Saccharomyces cerevisiae S288C: one gene and its partners. The protein of the gene in region 1 purifies or fractionates together with the protein of each later gene. This does not show direct contact. Each region holds a gene or a part of one and is shown in the gene's direction. Other genes may lie near its edges.

Evidence for each region.
Region 2: the proteins of ECM16 (region 1) and DIP2 purify together in Saccharomyces cerevisiae (affinity purification with mass spectrometry; 5 studies listed by BioGRID). This does not show direct contact.
Region 3: the proteins of ECM16 (region 1) and UTP4 purify together in Saccharomyces cerevisiae (affinity purification with mass spectrometry; 6 studies listed by BioGRID). This does not show direct contact.
Region 4: the proteins of ECM16 (region 1) and NOP58 purify together in Saccharomyces cerevisiae (affinity purification with mass spectrometry; 7 studies listed by BioGRID). This does not show direct contact.

Annotation. Positions count from the first base shown.
Region 1 is NC_001145.3:522,097-528,015, forward strand, and holds ECM16 (ATP-dependent RNA helicase ECM16), read left to right. Parts: upstream 1-1,599; coding exon 1,600-5,403; downstream 5,404-5,919. Other genes in the region: SAS2 (histone acetyltransferase), read right to left, coding at 233-1,249; POM152 (Pom152p), read left to right, coding at 5,708-5,919. UniProt on the Saccharomyces cerevisiae protein: Probable ATP-binding RNA helicase. Required for 18S rRNA synthesis. May play a role in restructuring of the pre-rRNA.
Region 2 is NC_001144.5:398,063-403,012, forward strand, and holds DIP2 (snoRNA-binding rRNA-processing protein DIP2), read left to right. Parts: upstream 1-1,594; coding exon 1,595-4,426; downstream 4,427-4,950. Other genes in the region: APC2 (anaphase promoting complex subunit 2), read right to left, coding at 1-257; NEDD8 ligase DCN1, read left to right, coding at 468-470, 565-1,371; low-affinity Zn(2+) transporter ZRT2, read right to left, coding at 4,732-4,950. UniProt on the Saccharomyces cerevisiae protein: Involved in nucleolar processing of pre-18S ribosomal RNA.
Region 3 is NC_001136.10:1,113,919-1,118,754, reverse strand, and holds UTP4 (small subunit rRNA maturation protein UTP4), read left to right. Parts: upstream 1-1,991; coding exon 1,992-4,322; downstream 4,323-4,836. Other genes in the region: condensin subunit YCG1, read right to left, coding at 1-1,629; PEP7 (phosphatidylinositol-3-phosphate binding protein), read left to right, coding at 4,728-4,836. UniProt on the Saccharomyces cerevisiae protein: Involved in nucleolar processing of pre-18S ribosomal RNA. Required for optimal pre-ribosomal RNA transcription by RNA polymerase I together with a subset of U3 proteins required for transcription (t-UTPs).
Region 4 is NC_001147.6:896,269-899,927, reverse strand, and holds NOP58 (RNA-processing protein NOP58), read left to right. Parts: upstream 1-1,567; coding exon 1,568-3,103; downstream 3,104-3,659. Other genes in the region: DGK1 (diacylglycerol kinase), read left to right, coding at 1-872; U4/U6-U5 snRNP complex subunit SNU66, read left to right, coding at 3,541-3,659. UniProt on the Saccharomyces cerevisiae protein: Required for pre-18S rRNA processing. May bind microtubules.

The DNA of each region.
Region 1 (5,919 bases):
CCCAAAAACGGCTAATAAAAACGTGAACCTGTTTTAAGTCTTTTGCTATAAAAGATATTTATACTCTAAAAAAAGGGAAACTTTTGCAGCAAAACAAATTTTATGCATTAGTTCTCTGTTCTTAACTTGGTCAGACAAAATTCGTCCGTTTGTAGTTGTCTGTACAGGAATTCATCGAGCGATATTCTATCCTGAAATACATATGCCATTAAGTTACATCCTGAATAGATTCCTAGTCATCTATCAGCAAATATTCATCTTTTAATTTGAACCAATTCCGTTTTGTTCCATGTAGTTTCAACCAGCTATTCAATGACTGCAAGTAAATTTGGTTATTCTCCCCAATACAGTTCAAGTGCTTCAAGGTCAAAATAACATCATTGACTCTCATTCCAGTCACGATGGAAAGATCCTCCAGGGTCACTTTATCATAATGGGCGAGGTCACCTTCAATAAGGTGCCAACAGAGTATCTGTGACCAATATTTCAAGTACCCGATTAGTCCAAAAGGTGATAACGGTACTTCTGGCCCTGATATTACACCTTCTAATTGGGATAGTTTGTATGAAAACTCGATAAGTAAAAGGCCTAATCCACGTCGTTGATATGGGGGAAATATCAAGATGCACGCTAGATTATTTTGCTGATATGACACTAAATCTTTCGAAAAGAATCCCATCGGCTTTGTTGATCCAGTTTCATAAACTATGTAAAATTCATAATGATCTACTTTGAAATACATGGATTTATTGTCCAGATATAGCTTAGTGAAAAGACAAAGACATTGGCAAAAGAGTTGATACTTGGATCCTTTTACTCTTCTTATTGTATATTCAGGACTCTTGTATTTTATTTTGCCTGGAACACGATATTGAAATGGACAACTTGCAACATGTCCTACAAACCGCGTCTGATCATCCGTGTATTTGAAGCAGTATTCACAAACGAAAAGAGTGTCTAGCCAGTATTGGCTGTTAGAAACAGAGGAAAGCTGACCCTTGGTCTCGGAGCACCCTAGCCTTTTTGTTTCAGGATCGAAATAAACGGCGCTCCCATACCAAGTAGAGAATTTTTTATTCAGTCCAAACTGAATCTGTCTTATGTTCCTTTCGTTCAGTATTCCATATAGCATCTCTTTTTGAGTTTTTTTAATTTTTGCTGAGGGCTTATTCTTGCCTTTTCCACCATTCTTCTTTCCTTTTAGCTTCTGGGTAGTCGCTGTGAGTGATTGACTTAAAGATCTTGCCATTTTTTTTGCGAGTGAAAACAAAAAGCAACTAGAAAATAGGAGCCTCCAATATCAAAAAATCAAACTTCAATTTAACAGATTCTTAGAGCGCTACATACTCTATCCAGTTCGATATGGACAAGACTTAATGATTTCATCATCTCTTCTGATTAACGATTCTGTTATTCTTCATATTTACGCGCCTAACATATCATGATGATTGGGTGTTCCGAAAATTTTCATTGGCGATGAGCTGAGTATTGAAAGCTCATTATAGTATTAGTATATTATTGTTAATAGCAAGTGCTATATGCTATAAAAATGCAATTACAACCCAATACTAATAATAGAGTGTCTTAAGAAATATAAGTATGGGTACTTACAGAAAAAGGTTTAATGAAAAAGCCAGATCCGGCCATATGGCCAAATTAAAAGAACTGAAAAGAATTAGGAATAAGCAGTTCACTAGACAGGATGAAAACGATGAAAGAGTAGAAAACCCAGATTCAGCTCCCGCTGAGAGTTCTACTACGGAGCCAAATGCCAATGCGGAAATTCTTGAACCTCTCACTGAAGAAGAAAAGAAAATGAAGAAAAGAAAACTACAGGAGTTATTTACCCCAAAGGAATCGAAAGTTTCGAGATTGAAGAAGAAAAGACTGGATAAATTTATTGAACATCAATTAAAAAGAGAGGAAAGAAAGACAATTATTGGTAAACTTCAAGATTATAAGATAGATACAAGTTTGTTGACAAGCTCTAAAAGGTTAGGAGAGGGCAGGCAGACTAAAAAGGAAGAATTCAAAGAAGCACTGAGTTTAGAACGTCAAGGAAGAGGAAATGAACAAACAAATGAAATATTATACGAAGAATATGAACCAAAAGTTTGGGATGAGTATGGTGAAGGAGGGAGCTCTGAGGATGATGACGGCGAAGATGATTTCGAGGCTTCATTTGGTAGTATGCCGAAACCAACGGACAATGAGGAGAAGAAATCATCAGGTTTTATTGATCATAGACCAGCAAAATTTGGTGGATCTGGTCTTAGCTTTGGGTTTAGCAATATAAAAGTCATAAACAAAGAAAGCAAAACTCCGAAGAAGAAATATAATTGGAGACAACGAGTAGAAATGGAAGAATTGAAGAAGCATGGGAAAGAAGATGAAATGGATTTCGACACGACATCTGAAGATGATGACGAAGAGGAGGATCAGGAAGAAGAAGACAAAATGCATCCTAGTGAAAACCCACTCGAAGAAGTTGAAAGCGCAGATAGTGAAACTGGCTCAGAAAAATTTGACCAAAATGATGTTGCTAACGAATTCAAGGATTGGGCCAATCAAGAAATAAAAAAATTGGAAGGTAGAGATCAAGAGCTAGTTACTCCCACTTTGAACATCGATTATAAACCGATAATTAGAAAGGAAGATTTAGATGATGGTCTCCAAGAAGCTTATGTTCCAATAAACGAGAATTCCACCCGTAAAGCCTTCTATGTTGAAGTTAGCAGATCAGATGAAATTCAGAAAGCAAGAATTCAACTACCAGTATTTGGTGAAGAACACAAAATTATGGAGGCTATTCACCATAATGATGTAGTGATTATTTGTGGTGAAACGGGGTCAGGTAAGACTACACAAGTCCCACAATTTTTATATGAGGCTGGGTTTGGTGCCGAAGATTCTCCAGATTACCCAGGAATGGTGGGTATCACTCAACCAAGAAGAGTGGCCGCTGTGTCCATGGCTGAACGTGTAGCTAATGAATTGGGGGACCATGGTCATAAAGTAGGATACCAAATTAGGTTTGACTCTACCGCAAAGGAGGACACAAAGGTCAAGTTTATGACAGATGGTGTCTTGCTACGAGAAATGATGCACGATTTCAAGTTGACTAAATATTCCTCCATTATCATAGATGAAGCACATGAAAGAAACATTAACACTGATATTTTGATCGGTATGCTTAGCCGTTGTGTTCGGTTAAGAGCTAAACTACATAAGGAGAACCCGATCGAGCACAAGAAGCTAAAACTCATCATCATGTCAGCTACATTAAGGGTATCAGATTTCAGCGAAAACAAAACATTGTTCCCCATAGCGCCCCCTGTCTTACAGGTTGATGCAAGGCAGTTTCCAGTCTCTATTCACTTTAATCGTAGAACTGCATTCAACTATACAGACGAGGCTTTCAGAAAGACTTGCAAAATTCACCAGAAACTTCCTCCTGGCGCTATATTGGTGTTTTTAACCGGTCAGCAGGAAATTACACACATGGTAAAAAGGCTAAGAAAGGAATTTCCTTTTAAGAAAAACTCCAAGTACAACAAAGATTTAGAAACACCCGTTTCTAAAATGGGTATCAATTCAAAAACAACAGATTTGGAGGCTGAGGATATAGACTTCAGTGTACAAGTTATCGATCAAGATAAGTTCAAGAGCGCGATAAGATACGAAGAAGATGAAGGTAACAGTGGAAACGGTGAAGATGAGGAAGACGAAGAGGAAGAAGGGTTTGAAGAAGTCCTAACTGAAGGGCAAACAGCTAACGATCCTTTATATGTCCTTCCACTGTATTCTCTATTACCAACCAAGGAACAAATGAGAGTCTTTCAAAAACCTCCTCAAGGTTCTAGGCTTTGTATTGTTGCAACAAATGTTGCAGAAACATCGTTAACTATACCTGGAGTTAGATATGTTGTTGATTCCGGGAGGTCTAAAGAGCGTAAATATAATGAATCAAATGGCGTACAGAGTTTTGAAGTGGGCTGGGTAAGTAAAGCTAGTGCCAATCAAAGAAGCGGTAGAGCAGGTCGTACTGGACCAGGCCATTGTTACCGTTTATATTCGTCTGCTGTTTTTGAACATGATTTCGAACAGTTCTCTAAACCTGAAATCTTAAGAATGCCAGTGGAGAGCATCGTGTTACAAATGAAGAGCATGGCCATTCATAATATCATTAATTTTCCATTTCCAACTCCTCCAGATAGAGTTGCCCTTTCCAAGGCAATACAATTACTGCAATATTTAGGTGCTCTTGATAATAAGGAGATGATTACTGAAGATGGTAAAAAAATGAGCCTGTTCCCACTTTCACCCAGATTTTCCAAAATGTTACTTGTTTCTGACGAAAAAGCCTGCCTTCCTTATATTGTAGCAATTGTTAGTGCCCTTTCGGTGGGAGATCCTTTTATCAATGAATTTGAGTTGGGAATAAACGAAATTTCTAGAAAACCAAATCCAGATGAAAATCTAGATGATAAGATTAGAGAGCACGATGAATCAACACCAGGTATGGATCCTGAACTGAAAAAGGAATTGCGCAGTAAATTCTATAAAAGCAGGAGTCAGTTTAGTAAATTAGACAAATTTAGTGACGTATTCCGTTTATTAAGTGTTGTAAGTGCAATGGACTACGTTCCAAAGGAACAAAAAGAAATATTCATGAAGAAAAATTTTTTAAGAGGCAAACTAATGGAAGAAATAGTAAAATTGAGGAAGCAGTTAATGTATATCATCAAGTCCAACACTTCAAAAGAAAATATTGCCGTAGTAATTAGGAATGAAGACTTGAAAAGTGATATTCCAAGCGTCATACAAATAAAACTTTTAAAACAAATGATTTGCGCTGGTTTTGTCGACCATGTTGCCGTAAGAGCAGATGTTTTATTTCCAGATGATGCTAAGATAACCAACAGAACTTCCATAATCAACATTCCTTATATTCCTGTTTTGGCCACGAGAACACCAAATATCGAGGACTGCTTTGTCTATATCCATCCGACTTCAATTTTAAATAATTTGGGGGAAATGCCACCCAAATACATGCTCTATTATTCCTTGCACCTTGGTGGAAATAATAAAACAAGGATGAATACTTTATGTGACATCGCAAGCACCCCCTTAGCGAACATAGCAAGAAAGGGACTTCTTTTGACATACAGTAAACCTCTGACTGGTCAAGGCTTGAAGACCGTTAATTTATCACCTACGGAACGGTATTGTTATGTGGTTCCTAGATTTGGATCCACAGTTGACAACGATCTCAAGATTGGTTGGGATTTAAATCCTATAGCAGTGCATCAGAAGAAGCAAAAAGGCCAGTGGACAGTCATTAAGTTTATCACCAGAAAGGGCTTCCAGACCATCACAGGTGAAGAGAAAGAAAAAAAATAATGCGCTGGTATTATAGAAATAGAGTTTCATTATATAAGAACATATAGGAAGAATACATTATTCCTATCTAGGGCATCAAATAATTGCAACCACTTAATGTTAACTTCCTTCATAATTCAAAACATTATGTTCTATAGCACTATGTATTTTATGTCATTATATACGTAGTCAATAACTTTATACGTTTTTTTTATTGAACAAAAGTAAGAATTGCTTAAGACATAATAAGAGGAAACTCATCGAACCAATTCAAAACGGATTATAGATTTATCATACCAGATACGTTTATCAGGAGGCTTGTATAATGGAGCACAGATATAACGTGTTTAATGATACTCCACGAGGGAACCATTGGATGGGCAGTTCTGTGTCAGGATCACCACGTCCATCTTATAGCAGTCGTCCTAATGTAAACACAACACGACGCTTCCAATATAGTGACGATGAGCCCGCTGAGAAAATCCGACCTTTACGCTCGAGGAGCTTTAAAAGTACTGAAAGTAACATAAGCGATGA
Region 2 (4,950 bases), on another chromosome or scaffold:
TTGTTTGCCTGACTAGTGTTTATCATGCTATATGGCGATGTGGTTGCGTTATTAGGGAAGAGAACCTTAATGATATTCTTAATACGAAGGCTTGGAGGACGTAGTTGATGGTTACTCTTGGCATCATTAGGGCTCATCCATGTAAGTAAAGAGTTCAAATCATCGACTATGTTTGTGTGAAAGATGTATGAGGAAAGTGTTTGTAACTCATCTGTAATAACTTTCAAATCTCGAGTTGGGGTAATCTGAAATGACATGATGGAAAAACCTTAACTATAAGCCATAAATATTTACAGTCCCGCTAAGTCTGGCTTTCGTCTAGTTTTCGATATTTTGGCTCTTTTGTCTATTACTGTTTTTGTAACCAAAGGTTTGAAAATTTAGATGCAACTAATGAACTTACGCAGTAACATGCAAGTACCCAATAAAAAAAGAAATTTTTGAAGAGACGTTCTTGCATTCAGGACATGGTATGTTTTTAATTTCGTTTCTTTAGTTCTCAGGCTCTTCAAAGTACTAACACTTTATTGGCAAGGGGCGCTCAAATGTGATGCATCATTATAGAGTAATAATAAAATAAAAAGAAAGGATGCAAGCCCGGAACAAGAGGCAATTGAATCATTCACCTCATTAACCAAATGTGACCCCAAGGTATCCAGGAAGTACCTGCAGCGTAATCACTGGAACATCAATTACGCTCTCAATGATTATTATGACAAGGAAATAGGGACGTTTACTGACGAGGTTTCAACTGTGGCTCATCCACCCGTATACCCGAAGGAGCTAACACAGGTATTTGAACACTATATCAATAACAACTTGTTTGATATAGACTCACTGGTCAAGTTCATTGAGGAGCTAGGCTACAATCTTGAAGATTTAGCGACATTATGCTTAGCCCATTTACTGGGGTACAAGAAACTAGAAGAACCCTTAAAACGAGAGGACTTCCTGTCAACATGGTTTATGCAAGGCTGTTCCACCATTTCAGACATGCAAGAGTGCATCAAGACGTTAGATGTTAAATTACATGAAGACTTACAATATTTCACACAGATTTATAACTATGCTTTCAATTTGATTCTGGACCCAAATCGAAAGGATATAGATACAGACGAAGGCATCCAGTATTGGAAGCTATTTTTCCAACCAGAGTACCCAGTGCGTATGGAACCAGATTTGCTTGAGGCATGGTTCCGTTTCCTTCGCGATGAGGGGAAAACCACTATAAGTAAAGACACCTGGCGTATGCTGCTCCTCTTTTTCAAACGATACCCCACTATTCAGAAAATAATAAGCGATTACGACGAAACTGCAGCCTGGCCATTTATTATCGATGAGTTCTATGAGTGCTTACAGGATCAGCAATAAACATCCTTTCATATACTTAAGGGTATGCTGTTTAATATTGCATGGAATACGTTACCCTTCTAAGATAGATGGGAATAAGGCGGAAATAAAAAACGCGATGAGCAGTGGAAAATTTTTCAGAAATTTTCAGTTCCCTCATAATATAGATGTAGATATTGTATAAGGTCGTACGTATATCAGAGTAGCCACTAGAAGGACCAGAGAAACTGGAATAAGAGCTATTATGGTCAAATCATACCAACGTTTTGAGCAAGCAGCTGCTTTTGGTGTAATAGCCTCCAATGCCAATTGTGTTTGGATACCTGCGTCATCCGGAAATAGTAATGGTAGTGGACCAGGACAATTGATTACGAGTGCTCTCGAGGACGTTAATATATGGGATATTAAGACCGGGGATTTGGTCAGTAAATTATCCGATGGCTTACCTCCAGGCGCATCTGATGCTAGAGGCGCCAAGCCAGCCGAGTGTACATATTTGGAGGCTCATAAAGATACGGATTTATTAGCTGTCGGTTACGCAGATGGTGTCATTAAAGTTTGGGATTTGATGTCTAAGACTGTGCTTTTGAATTTTAACGGTCACAAAGCAGCTATAACATTATTACAATTTGATGGGACTGGCACAAGATTAATTTCTGGTTCCAAGGACTCCAATATCATTGTATGGGATCTTGTTGGAGAAGTTGGTCTTTATAAACTTAGATCACACAAGGATTCCATTACTGGCTTTTGGTGTCAAGGAGAAGATTGGCTGATCAGCACCTCCAAAGATGGAATGATCAAGCTATGGGACCTAAAAACACATCAATGTATAGAGACACATATTGCGCATACTGGAGAGTGTTGGGGCCTTGCAGTGAAGGATGATTTACTGATCACAACTGGTACTGATAGTCAAGTAAAAATTTGGAAACTGGATATAGAAAATGACAAAATGGGGGGGAAACTAACAGAGATGGGTATTTTCGAAAAGCAAAGTAAGCAACGTGGGTTAAAGATTGAGTTCATAACAAATTCGTCTGACAAAACCTCTTTTTTTTACATCCAAAATGCTGATAAAACCATCGAGACTTTCAGAATTAGAAAAGAAGAAGAAATAGCAAGAGGTTTAAAGAAAAGAGAGAAGAGGCTAAAAGAAAAGGGGTTGACAGAAGAAGAAATTGCAAAATCTATTAAAGAATCCTACTCCTCCTTTATATTGCATCCTTTTCAAACCATAAGATCATTGTATAAAATAAAATCTGCATCATGGACAACGGTCTCAAGTTCCAAACTTGAGTTGGTATTAACTACATCGAGTAATACCATAGAGTATTATTCCATTCCATATGAAAAAAGAGACCCAACAAGCCCTGCTCCTCTCAAGACACATACTATTGAATTGCAAGGGCAAAGAACGGATGTGCGTAGTATTGACATCAGTGATGATAACAAATTACTTGCCACAGCATCCAATGGTTCATTGAAAATATGGAATATCAAAACACATAAATGTATCAGAACTTTCGAATGTGGGTATGCATTAACTTGTAAGTTTTTGCCAGGTGGGCTACTAGTCATACTGGGTACAAGAAACGGGGAGTTACAGCTCTTTGATCTAGCATCATCAAGTCTTTTGGATACCATTGAAGATGCACATGATGCGGCAATTTGGTCGCTAGATCTGACCTCAGATGGTAAACGATTAGTGACCGGATCTGCCGATAAAACTGTCAAGTTTTGGGATTTCAAAGTTGAAAATAGCCTAGTGCCAGGTACCAAGAACAAATTCCTGCCTGTTTTAAAACTGCACCATGATACAACTTTGGAATTAACTGACGACATTTTATGTGTACGGGTTTCTCCTGACGATAGATATCTAGCCATCTCGTTGCTGGATAATACTGTTAAGGTATTCTTTTTGGACTCAATGAAGTTTTACCTAAGTTTATATGGGCACAAATTACCTGTACTATCTATCGATATTTCATTTGATTCTAAGATGATTATTACGTCTTCCGCAGACAAAAATATCAAGATTTGGGGTTTAGATTTTGGTGACTGTCACAAGTCTTTATTTGCCCATCAGGATTCGATTATGAACGTTAAATTCTTACCACAGTCTCACAACTTCTTTAGTTGTTCTAAAGACGCAGTGGTGAAATATTGGGATGGCGAGAAATTTGAATGCATTCAAAAACTATACGCTCATCAGAGCGAAGTTTGGGCTTTGGCGGTTGCTACTGATGGCGGCTTTGTTGTTTCTTCATCCCATGATCACAGTATAAGAATCTGGGAAGAAACCGAGGACCAGGTATTTTTAGAAGAGGAAAAGGAGAAAGAACTTGAAGAACAGTACGAGGATACATTGCTAACTTCTTTGGAAGAAGGAAACGGTGATGATGCATTTAAAGCTGATGCATCGGGTGAAGGCGTTGAAGATGAAGCATCCGGTGTTCATAAACAGACTTTAGAATCGTTAAAGGCTGGTGAAAGACTTATGGAGGCGCTAGATTTAGGAATTGCTGAGATTGAAGGTTTAGAGGCATATAACAGAGATATGAAGCTATGGCAAAGAAAGAAGTTGGGTGAAGCGCCAATAAAACCACAGGGTAACGCTGTTCTAATTGCTGTGAATAAAACTCCTGAGCAATATATTATGGATACCCTGTTAAGAATAAGAATGTCTCAGTTAGAAGATGCACTGATGGTTATGCCATTCTCATATGTCCTCAAATTTTTAAAATTTATTGATACCGTTATGCAAAACAAAACTTTGCTGCACTCTCACTTACCATTAATTTGCAAGAATTTATTTTTCATTATCAAATTTAATCATAAAGAATTGGTTTCTCAGAAAAATGAAGAATTGAAATTGCAAATAAATAGAGTAAAGACTGAATTAAGAAGTGCATTAAAATCTACCGAGGATGATCTAGGCTTTAATGTTCAAGGGTTGAAATTCGTCAAGCAACAATGGAATCTAAGGCATAACTACGAATTCGTTGACGAATATGACCAACAGGAGAAAGAGAGTAATAGTGCAAGGAAGAGAGTTTTCGGGACCGTTATATAATAAAACTATTATCCTACATAATACCGGCATTACTCTGCCCTTTTCACACTTCAAAAGGATAGATTAAATTATCTGTATATTATACAATTCCAATCATAAAAATTGTCATTCCGATTGCCCTTCGGTAATAATGGGCATATCCAAATAACGGAATATGTGTTTTTTATACTTATTGGTCGCTGACATATGCTGTTTTTTGCGAGATGTCTCTCGTCTCTGCAGAGCAGTTGTAAAATTATAGGTCATGCATTTTTTTTTTTTTGATAATGAATAACTATCTAATCTAACAAAATATACGTGAGATACTATGCCCATTTCCCTAGAAGAGCCATTAAAGCAGCTCCACAACACATGATGAGATATGCACTAAGCATTTTTTTGAGGCCATCAGGTCCTTTGAATTGATTAGAGTATAAGAATTCATGAGCCATTAATTCGACTAGTCCAGTATAAATAAGAATTCCTGATGATATCGAGTCAAAAACACCATTAGCAATTAATGCTCTTCTAGAGCCAGGTATCCA
Region 3 (4,836 bases), on another chromosome or scaffold:
AGAATGGAAGGATGAAATATTGTCGTCTTCTTCATCCTCGTTAACTTCGTCATTATGTGTGCCGTTTTCGTCCTCTTCATCGACGGAAGTCTCATTTCTGCGATTAATCTTCTTGCTTTTTATTTTCTCTTCTTGTTCTTGTTTTTCAATATCGTCGTCTCTAATATCATTAATGATTTCTATTGCCATTGTTACAAAATCTTTTTCATTTATGGACAGACTTTTCATTACACGAATACCAATTTTAATAAGAGGTTCGGAGAGTGTAGTTAAGGCCAGCATATTTCGTACCACTGTAAGCATCGATCTCCTTCCAACCTCATCGCTATAATCATACCTTTCGGCGGCAATCGATAGTTGCTCAATAATAAACTCTAAAGTGTTATAATCAAAATGCGACTGAGAGTCATTAGAAATGTCGTTGTGATGATATCTGAGAAGAATATAATGGTTTAAATGCTCGGATAATTTTGAGGCTTCTGGAAAGTTTTCTTCCAGCATTTCTGTTATATTATTATCCAAACAGTACAAATAAATAGCCCGAAAGAGGAAGGCAATTTCTACGGTAAAGTCTTTCCAAATACTTTCAGGAAATTTGATTTTAGATAATATATCTGGCCTTGATTGAAAAAGTGCTTCTATAGCCTTAACACACACTGAGGATCTTGAGACATCCAATTTTTCTAGTAATTCTATCAAATCGCCATCCAGAGCATTTAACCAATCATGAGCAATGAGTCTCTTACACGCATTTCTCACTGATAATTCCCTATCTTCTAAACCCCACTCAATCAATTGATCAAAAATATGCGGCTCAATATCATCGAAACACTTTCTTCCCATTGATTTCAAAATTCTCGAATACACGAGCCTTCTATTAACGATGTTTACATCTCTAGCCCTCTCCAAGATATACGGTCTAGTATTATTATCATTGATCAAATTCAGCATTGCAGCCCTCCGTACTTCAGCTGACGGATCGTTCTGGATAGAAGCAACTAGAGTTCTCGTAGCTTCAAAATTTTCTTCATTATCAGAAAGCTCAGTTAAATGTTCAGTTTGCTCTTCATCCTGAAATTTAGTTAAACAAAACACAGCCTGTATCCTAACCGTTGGTTCTCTATCATAAATCCTCTTATTTAAAGACAATATTAATAAATTGAAAAGTGATTCATCGATTTCCCCTATATTATCCATTATAACGGCTAATAACTGTAAAACTCTAAATCTGACGTTCTTGTCAGGGCTTTCCACACCACGCAAAACATGTCTTATGAACTGATCGACGAACCTTGAGAATATCCCTTCTTCATCATTCGTGAGCTTATAGTTTTGTTTTTTGGCCAATATCAACTCCCTTTCTAAAGAAGCTATAAATGCAGCTACTAACTTTACTATCCTGTCTCCGATAATCTCATTCTTTTTCAGAGGAAGGATCTTAGTAACTAATTTATCGAACCAAAAGTTAAAAGCATCTTCATAGCCTTGCTCAACAGCCTTTGACTGAATTTTCTTCAAAACTGCTATATGCTTCCTGTGTCCTGCATAAGAACCCTGTGCCTTTTGAAATACTTCAGCAACTGAGTTAAAGATTTTCGTATTAATGTCAATACCATCAGGATCTTGCATGATGGGCGCGGCCTGTTAACTTCTTTGTCTTATCCAAGGCTGTAGGCATTACTGAAGTGTTTTTGTTTGATCTTCAAAGAGCTAAAAAGGTAAACAAACACGAAGGCTCTACCCTTTCATATGCGGTGCACGGATTTTAAAAGTCGCAATAACTCAAGAATACGATAGATGCAATAAATCAGAGGTAAAGTGCTTTAGGCTAATACTATGAGCAATTCAGTATAACCTGCATTATCTCCTTGTTTTCCTTTGTATCCCCCATGATTTTTTTTTCTTGTTATTCCTCTTGATACCATATTAGGCAGGATTTTTTTCAAAAAACCAAATGAAAAATTTTCAGACTGACAAGAAAAAAGCTACGAATGAGCTCATCGCTACTTTCAGTTTTAAAAGAAAAGTCAAGAAGCCTGAAAATACGAAACAAACCGGTGAAGATGACCAGTCAGGAAAGGATGATAGTGCATAGATGCAGATTTGTGGATTTCACTCCTGCCACAATCACATCTCTAGCATTTTCACATAAATCAAATATAAATAAGTTAACTCCGTCCGATTTGAGATTAGCTATTGGTAGATCTAATGGTAACATAGAAATCTGGAATCCTAGAAACAATTGGTTTCAGGAAATGGTTATCGAAGGTGGCAAAGACAGATCAATTGAAGGCCTTTGCTGGAGCAACGTTAACGGCGAGTCTCTAAGGCTATTTTCTATTGGCGGCTCGACTGTGGTAACAGAATGGGATTTAGCAACAGGTTTACCATTAAGAAACTATGATTGCAATTCAGGTGTGATATGGTCTATTTCCATCAACGATTCACAAGACAAGCTGTCTGTGGGTTGCGATAATGGGACGGTGGTCCTCATAGATATCTCTGGCGGGCCTGGTGTCTTGGAACACGATACTATTTTGATGAGACAAGAAGCCAGAGTATTGACTTTGGCTTGGAAAAAGGATGACTTCGTGATTGGTGGTTGTTCTGATGGTAGAATAAGGATTTGGTCTGCACAAAAAAATGACGAAAACATGGGTCGTCTATTACACACTATGAAGGTCGACAAGGCCAAAAAAGAATCAACTCTAGTTTGGTCAGTTATATATTTACCAAGAACTGATCAGATTGCCTCTGGTGATTCTACAGGCTCCATTAAATTCTGGGATTTCCAGTTTGCCACGCTAAACCAGTCATTTAAGGCGCACGATGCAGACGTACTGTGTCTAACTACCGATACTGATAATAATTATGTTTTTAGTGCTGGTGTGGACAGAAAAATCTTTCAATTTTCTCAAAACACTAACAAATCTCAAAAGAACAACAGATGGGTAAATTCTTCTAATAGGTTGCTTCATGGAAACGACATTAGAGCAATATGTGCATACCAATCTAAAGGTGCAGATTTTCTAGTTTCAGGAGGTGTTGAAAAAACACTAGTCATCAACTCACTTACTTCTTTTTCTAATGGAAACTACAGGAAGATGCCAACTGTCGAACCTTATTCAAAGAATGTTTTAGTTAACAAAGAGCAACGCCTTGTTGTTTCATGGAGCGAATCTACTGTTAAGATATGGACAATGGGAACCGATTCTAGTACAGAACAGAATTATAAGCTAGTTTGCAAGTTAACTTTAAAAGATGACCAGAATATCTCAACTTGTTCTTTATCACCTGATGGACAAGTTTTAGTCGTAGGGAGGCCCTCTACCACTAAAGTTTTTCATTTACAGCCCGTAGGTAATAAATTGAAAGTGACTAAACTAGATAATGACCTATTATTGAGAACTTCCACAAAATTAGTCAAGTTCATCGATAATTCCAAAATTGTCATATGCTCTTGCGAAGATGATGTATTTATTGTGGATCTAGAATCTGAAGAAGATGAAAAACCGCAAGAAGTTGAACTTTTGGAGGTTACTTCAACTAAGAGCAGTATCAAAGTTCCCTATATTAACAGGATCAACCATTTGGAAGTAGACCAGAACATTGCAGTAATTTCTCGTGGCTGTGGAGTCGTAGACATATTAGACTTAAAAGCAAGGATTTCTAAACCACTTGCTCGTTTGAATAATTTCATCACCGCTGTTCATATCAATACTTCTAGAAAATCTGTAGTAGTAATTACTGCAGACAATAAGATTTATGAATTCAATATGAATTTGAATTCGGAAGCCGAGAATGAAGATAGCGAAAGCGTATTAACTCAATGGTCAAAAAACAATACGGATAACTTACCAAAAGAATGGAAGACATTAAAAGAGAACTGTGTAGGGATATTTTCAGACATAGAAAATAGTAGCAGATTATGGTTTTGGGGGGCTACTTGGATATCAAGAATAGACTTTGATGTTGACTTCCCTATAAATAAGAGAAGAAAACAGAAAAAACGTACACACGAAGGGCTAACTATCACAGATGAAAGTAATTTCATGAACGACGAGGAAGATGACGAAGATGACGATATTGATATGGAAATCAGCGAAAACTTGAATGTATTATTAAACCAAGGAAACAAAATAAAGTCCACAGATGTACAAAGAAACGAAGAAAGCTCCGGTCACTTCTTCTTTACTGATAAATATAAACCTTTACTGTTTGTTGACTTAATTTCTAGTAATGAATTGGCAATAATTGAAAGAAATCCATTAACTTTTCACTCCAAACAAAAGGCGTTTATTCAACCAAAGTTAGTGTTTTGATTAATTTAAGTCAACATACCGAAGAATAGAGAGATGCTATTAAAAGGCTATCATACTCTAAGGGCATTTTTCAGTTACAAAAAACTCTAATGGCGTTAGTACTTTATAGAAACTCGCTAATGTAAAATAGCCAAGCACATACGCAGACATATATATGTAGTAATCACGTATGCAGACATTAAATGTGAGCCATTTATTGGTATAAATGTATTCCTGAATTACAAAAGTACTGGCGATGGAATCACTCTGGCTATCACTGTTATTTCCAGGCAGGGTAATACTTTGGGAAAACAATAGAATAATGAAAACATATGATCAGTAGCTAAATTGACCGACCTAAAGAGCAAAGCCGGATCTCATGGTTTTTAAAGGGATATCACCGAATTTCCTGGCGACTTATCTATTATGGATCTTGAAAATGTTTCATGTCCCATTTGTCTAAGGAAGTTTGATAACTTACAAGCACTAAATGCACATTTAGATGTTGAGCATGGGTTTAACGATAATGAAGATT
Region 4 (3,659 bases), on another chromosome or scaffold:
TGGGGACCGAAGATGCCATTGCCCTTCCAAATAGCACGCTAGAGCCGCGTACCGAAGCTAAGCAAAGACTATCATCTAAGAGTCATCAAGTCTCGGCGAAAGTAACGATTCCAGCAAAAGAAGAAATTAGTAGTAGCGATGACGATGCACACGTTCCAGTGACAGAAATACATTTGAAATCTCATGAATGGTTCGGCGATTTTATAACTAAACATGAAATTCCCCGTAAGGTGTTCCATTCTTCCATTGGCTTTATTACTTTGTACCTGTATACGCAGGGTATTAATTATAAAAATGTTTTATGGCCTTTGATATACGCCTTCATCATATTGTTTATTTTGGATCTGATAAGACTAAACTGGCCCTTTTTCAATATGCTTTACTGTAGAACTGTGGGTGCGCTAATGAGAAAAAAGGAGATTCATACATACAATGGGGTATTGTGGTACATTCTTGGGTTAATCTTTTCTTTTAACTTTTTCTCTAAAGATGTTACCTTAATATCGTTATTTTTGCTAAGTTGGTCCGATACAGCCGCCGCAACTATTGGAAGAAAGTATGGTCATTTAACACCCAAAGTGGCAAGAAATAAATCCCTTGCAGGTTCGATAGCTGCGTTTACAGTTGGTGTTATCACCTGCTGGGTATTTTATGGCTATTTTGTTCCTGCCTACAGCTACGTCAACAAACCTGGCGAGATCCAATGGAGCCCAGAAACAAGCAGATTAAGTTTGAATATGCTATCCTTGTTAGGTGGTGTGGTAGCTGCTTTGAGTGAAGGTATAGATTTGTTCAACTGGGATGATAATTTCACTATTCCTGTCCTGTCATCACTTTTTATGAACGCAGTAATCAAAACATTCAAGAAATAAAAGCATATATACCAAAAACAGGAGTGTTTTATATTCTTCGGTAAGTCTTTTTTACAGTAACTGGAGTGCGCGATTCAGTTTATCTGTGGTTAACGATCCAGCACCTCTTCGATCTTTGGCATCCACAAATTATTTTTCTAAATATCCTACATATCCGAGTATAGAGTTAGAACCTGTGTAAATTATTCAGCAGTATTTCCGTATTTTTCACGCCATTAGAAACATTCGACACAAGCAGTTTTATGAAAACATTTATGTTACTAATATATGTGCCAACAAGCGCATCCAAATGGGGCGCAACATTATTATTTAATCGTAAACCTACACCATATTTTCATCAGTAAAAAAAGGCTTTTTCATGCCCCAACTTTGTCACAAAGCAATCATATCAGAGAACAATAAAAAAGAACAATCCTGCGAAATACGATTACCAAGATCCTGAACCAGCGTTCATTTATCTTGGCATCTCAAGGATATATGGTTTATCTGCGATTACCGCCCAGTGGCCTTATTGATATTGATATCATTGTGTACGTTAGAACAGAAAAAAAGAAATTTGGAAAATTTTTCAACCTCATCGAAAATTTTCAGAAAAGCAAGAATTATTTATGCTTTCGCAAAAATTTCGCATATAAGTTATTTTTGAAATAGCAGTCGATACCAAATTAGCTGTAGAACCTCAACCTCCTCATACAATGGCTTACGTTTTAACTGAAACTTCAGCTGGTTATGCTCTTTTAAAAGCTTCCGATAAGAAAATCTACAAATCTTCAAGCTTAATTCAAGACTTGGATAGCTCTGACAAAGTCTTGAAGGAATTCAAGATCGCCGCCTTTTCCAAGTTCAACTCTGCAGCTAACGCTTTAGAGGAAGCCAACTCCATTATTGAAGGTAAAGTTTCTTCCCAATTAGAAAAACTTCTGGAAGAAATTAAAAAGGACAAGAAGTCGACCTTGATTGTTAGTGAAACTAAACTGGCAAACGCTATTAATAAGTTGGGATTGAACTTCAATGTTGTTTCCGATGCTGTAACCTTAGATATCTATAGAGCTATCAAAGAATATTTGCCAGAATTGCTGCCAGGTATGTCTGATAATGATCTAAGCAAGATGTCTTTGGGTTTAGCTCATTCCATCGGTCGTCACAAATTAAAATTTTCTGCTGACAAAGTTGATGTTATGATTATTCAAGCAATTGCTTTATTGGATGATTTAGATAAAGAATTAAACACATATGCCATGAGATGTAAAGAATGGTACGGGTGGCACTTTCCTGAGTTAGCTAAGATTGTTACTGATTCCGTCGCTTATGCGAGAATTATTCTAACAATGGGTATCAGATCCAAGGCTTCTGAAACAGATTTGAGTGAAATCTTACCAGAAGAGATTGAAGAACGTGTCAAAACCGCTGCTGAAGTGTCTATGGGTACTGAAATCACTCAAACCGATCTAGACAACATTAATGCTTTAGCTGAACAAATAGTCGAATTTGCCGCTTACAGAGAACAGTTGTCCAATTACTTGTCTGCAAGAATGAAGGCTATTGCTCCAAACTTGACTCAGTTGGTTGGTGAATTAGTTGGTGCTAGACTTATCGCTCATTCAGGTTCCTTAATTTCCTTGGCCAAATCACCAGCTTCTACCATCCAAATATTAGGTGCCGAAAAGGCTTTATTCAGAGCTTTAAAGACCAAGCATGATACACCAAAGTATGGTTTGCTATATCATGCCTCTCTTGTTGGTCAAGCTACTGGTAAGAACAAAGGTAAGATTGCAAGAGTTCTGGCTGCTAAGGCCGCTGTCTCATTGCGTTATGATGCTTTAGCTGAAGATAGAGACGATTCAGGTGACATTGGTCTAGAATCAAGAGCCAAAGTAGAAAATAGATTATCCCAATTAGAAGGTAGAGATTTAAGAACTACTCCAAAGGTTGTTCGTGAGGCTAAGAAGGTGGAAATGACTGAAGCTAGGGCCTACAATGCAGATGCTGATACCGCAAAGGCTGCTTCTGATTCTGAATCCGATTCTGATGATGAAGAGGAAGAAAAGAAAGAAAAGAAAGAAAAGAAGAGAAAGAGAGACGATGATGAAGATTCCAAGGATTCTAAAAAAGCTAAGAAGGAAAAGAAGGACAAGAAGGAAAAGAAGGAAAAGAAGGAAAAGAAGGAGAAGAAAGAGAAGAAAGAGAAGAAGGAAAAGAAGTCCAAGAAAGAGAAGAAAGAGAAGAAATAAGGATGCATTTTACATTTTAATAATTAGTGACCCCTCGCGTTCCCTTTTATTTGGATTTAGAAAATTTTCTATAATTATCCAATGCTTAACCTATTTCTCATTTCATATTTTATTCCATAATCTGTAAATTAGTGCTGTACGCCCATATTGAATTGAACTTATTATTTTTTTTAGGTGATATATTTGAAATAGTATACATAATTTATGTTTACATAGTTTTAGGTACTTTATATCATTAAAAGTTTTGTTTAACCTTTAAAAAATTTGTACCATTAGCAGTTATAGGTATTCATATCGTGAACTGCGCAACTTAAAATTATTCGCGGGACGAAAAAGATATACAAAATTTTTGAAAGTGAGCAAAGGATGAGATGGTGCAATCGTTACTATTTGATATTAATAAAAAGGCAATCATCACATCAACCCTTAATTAATTTATGAACAAAACGGAAAACCTTTCTATTGAGGAGACAAATGAAATAAGGGAAAAGCTGGGTATGAAACCTATTCCAGTTTTTCAAGAAAAGAATACAGACCATAAAGAGTCTTTGTCAAT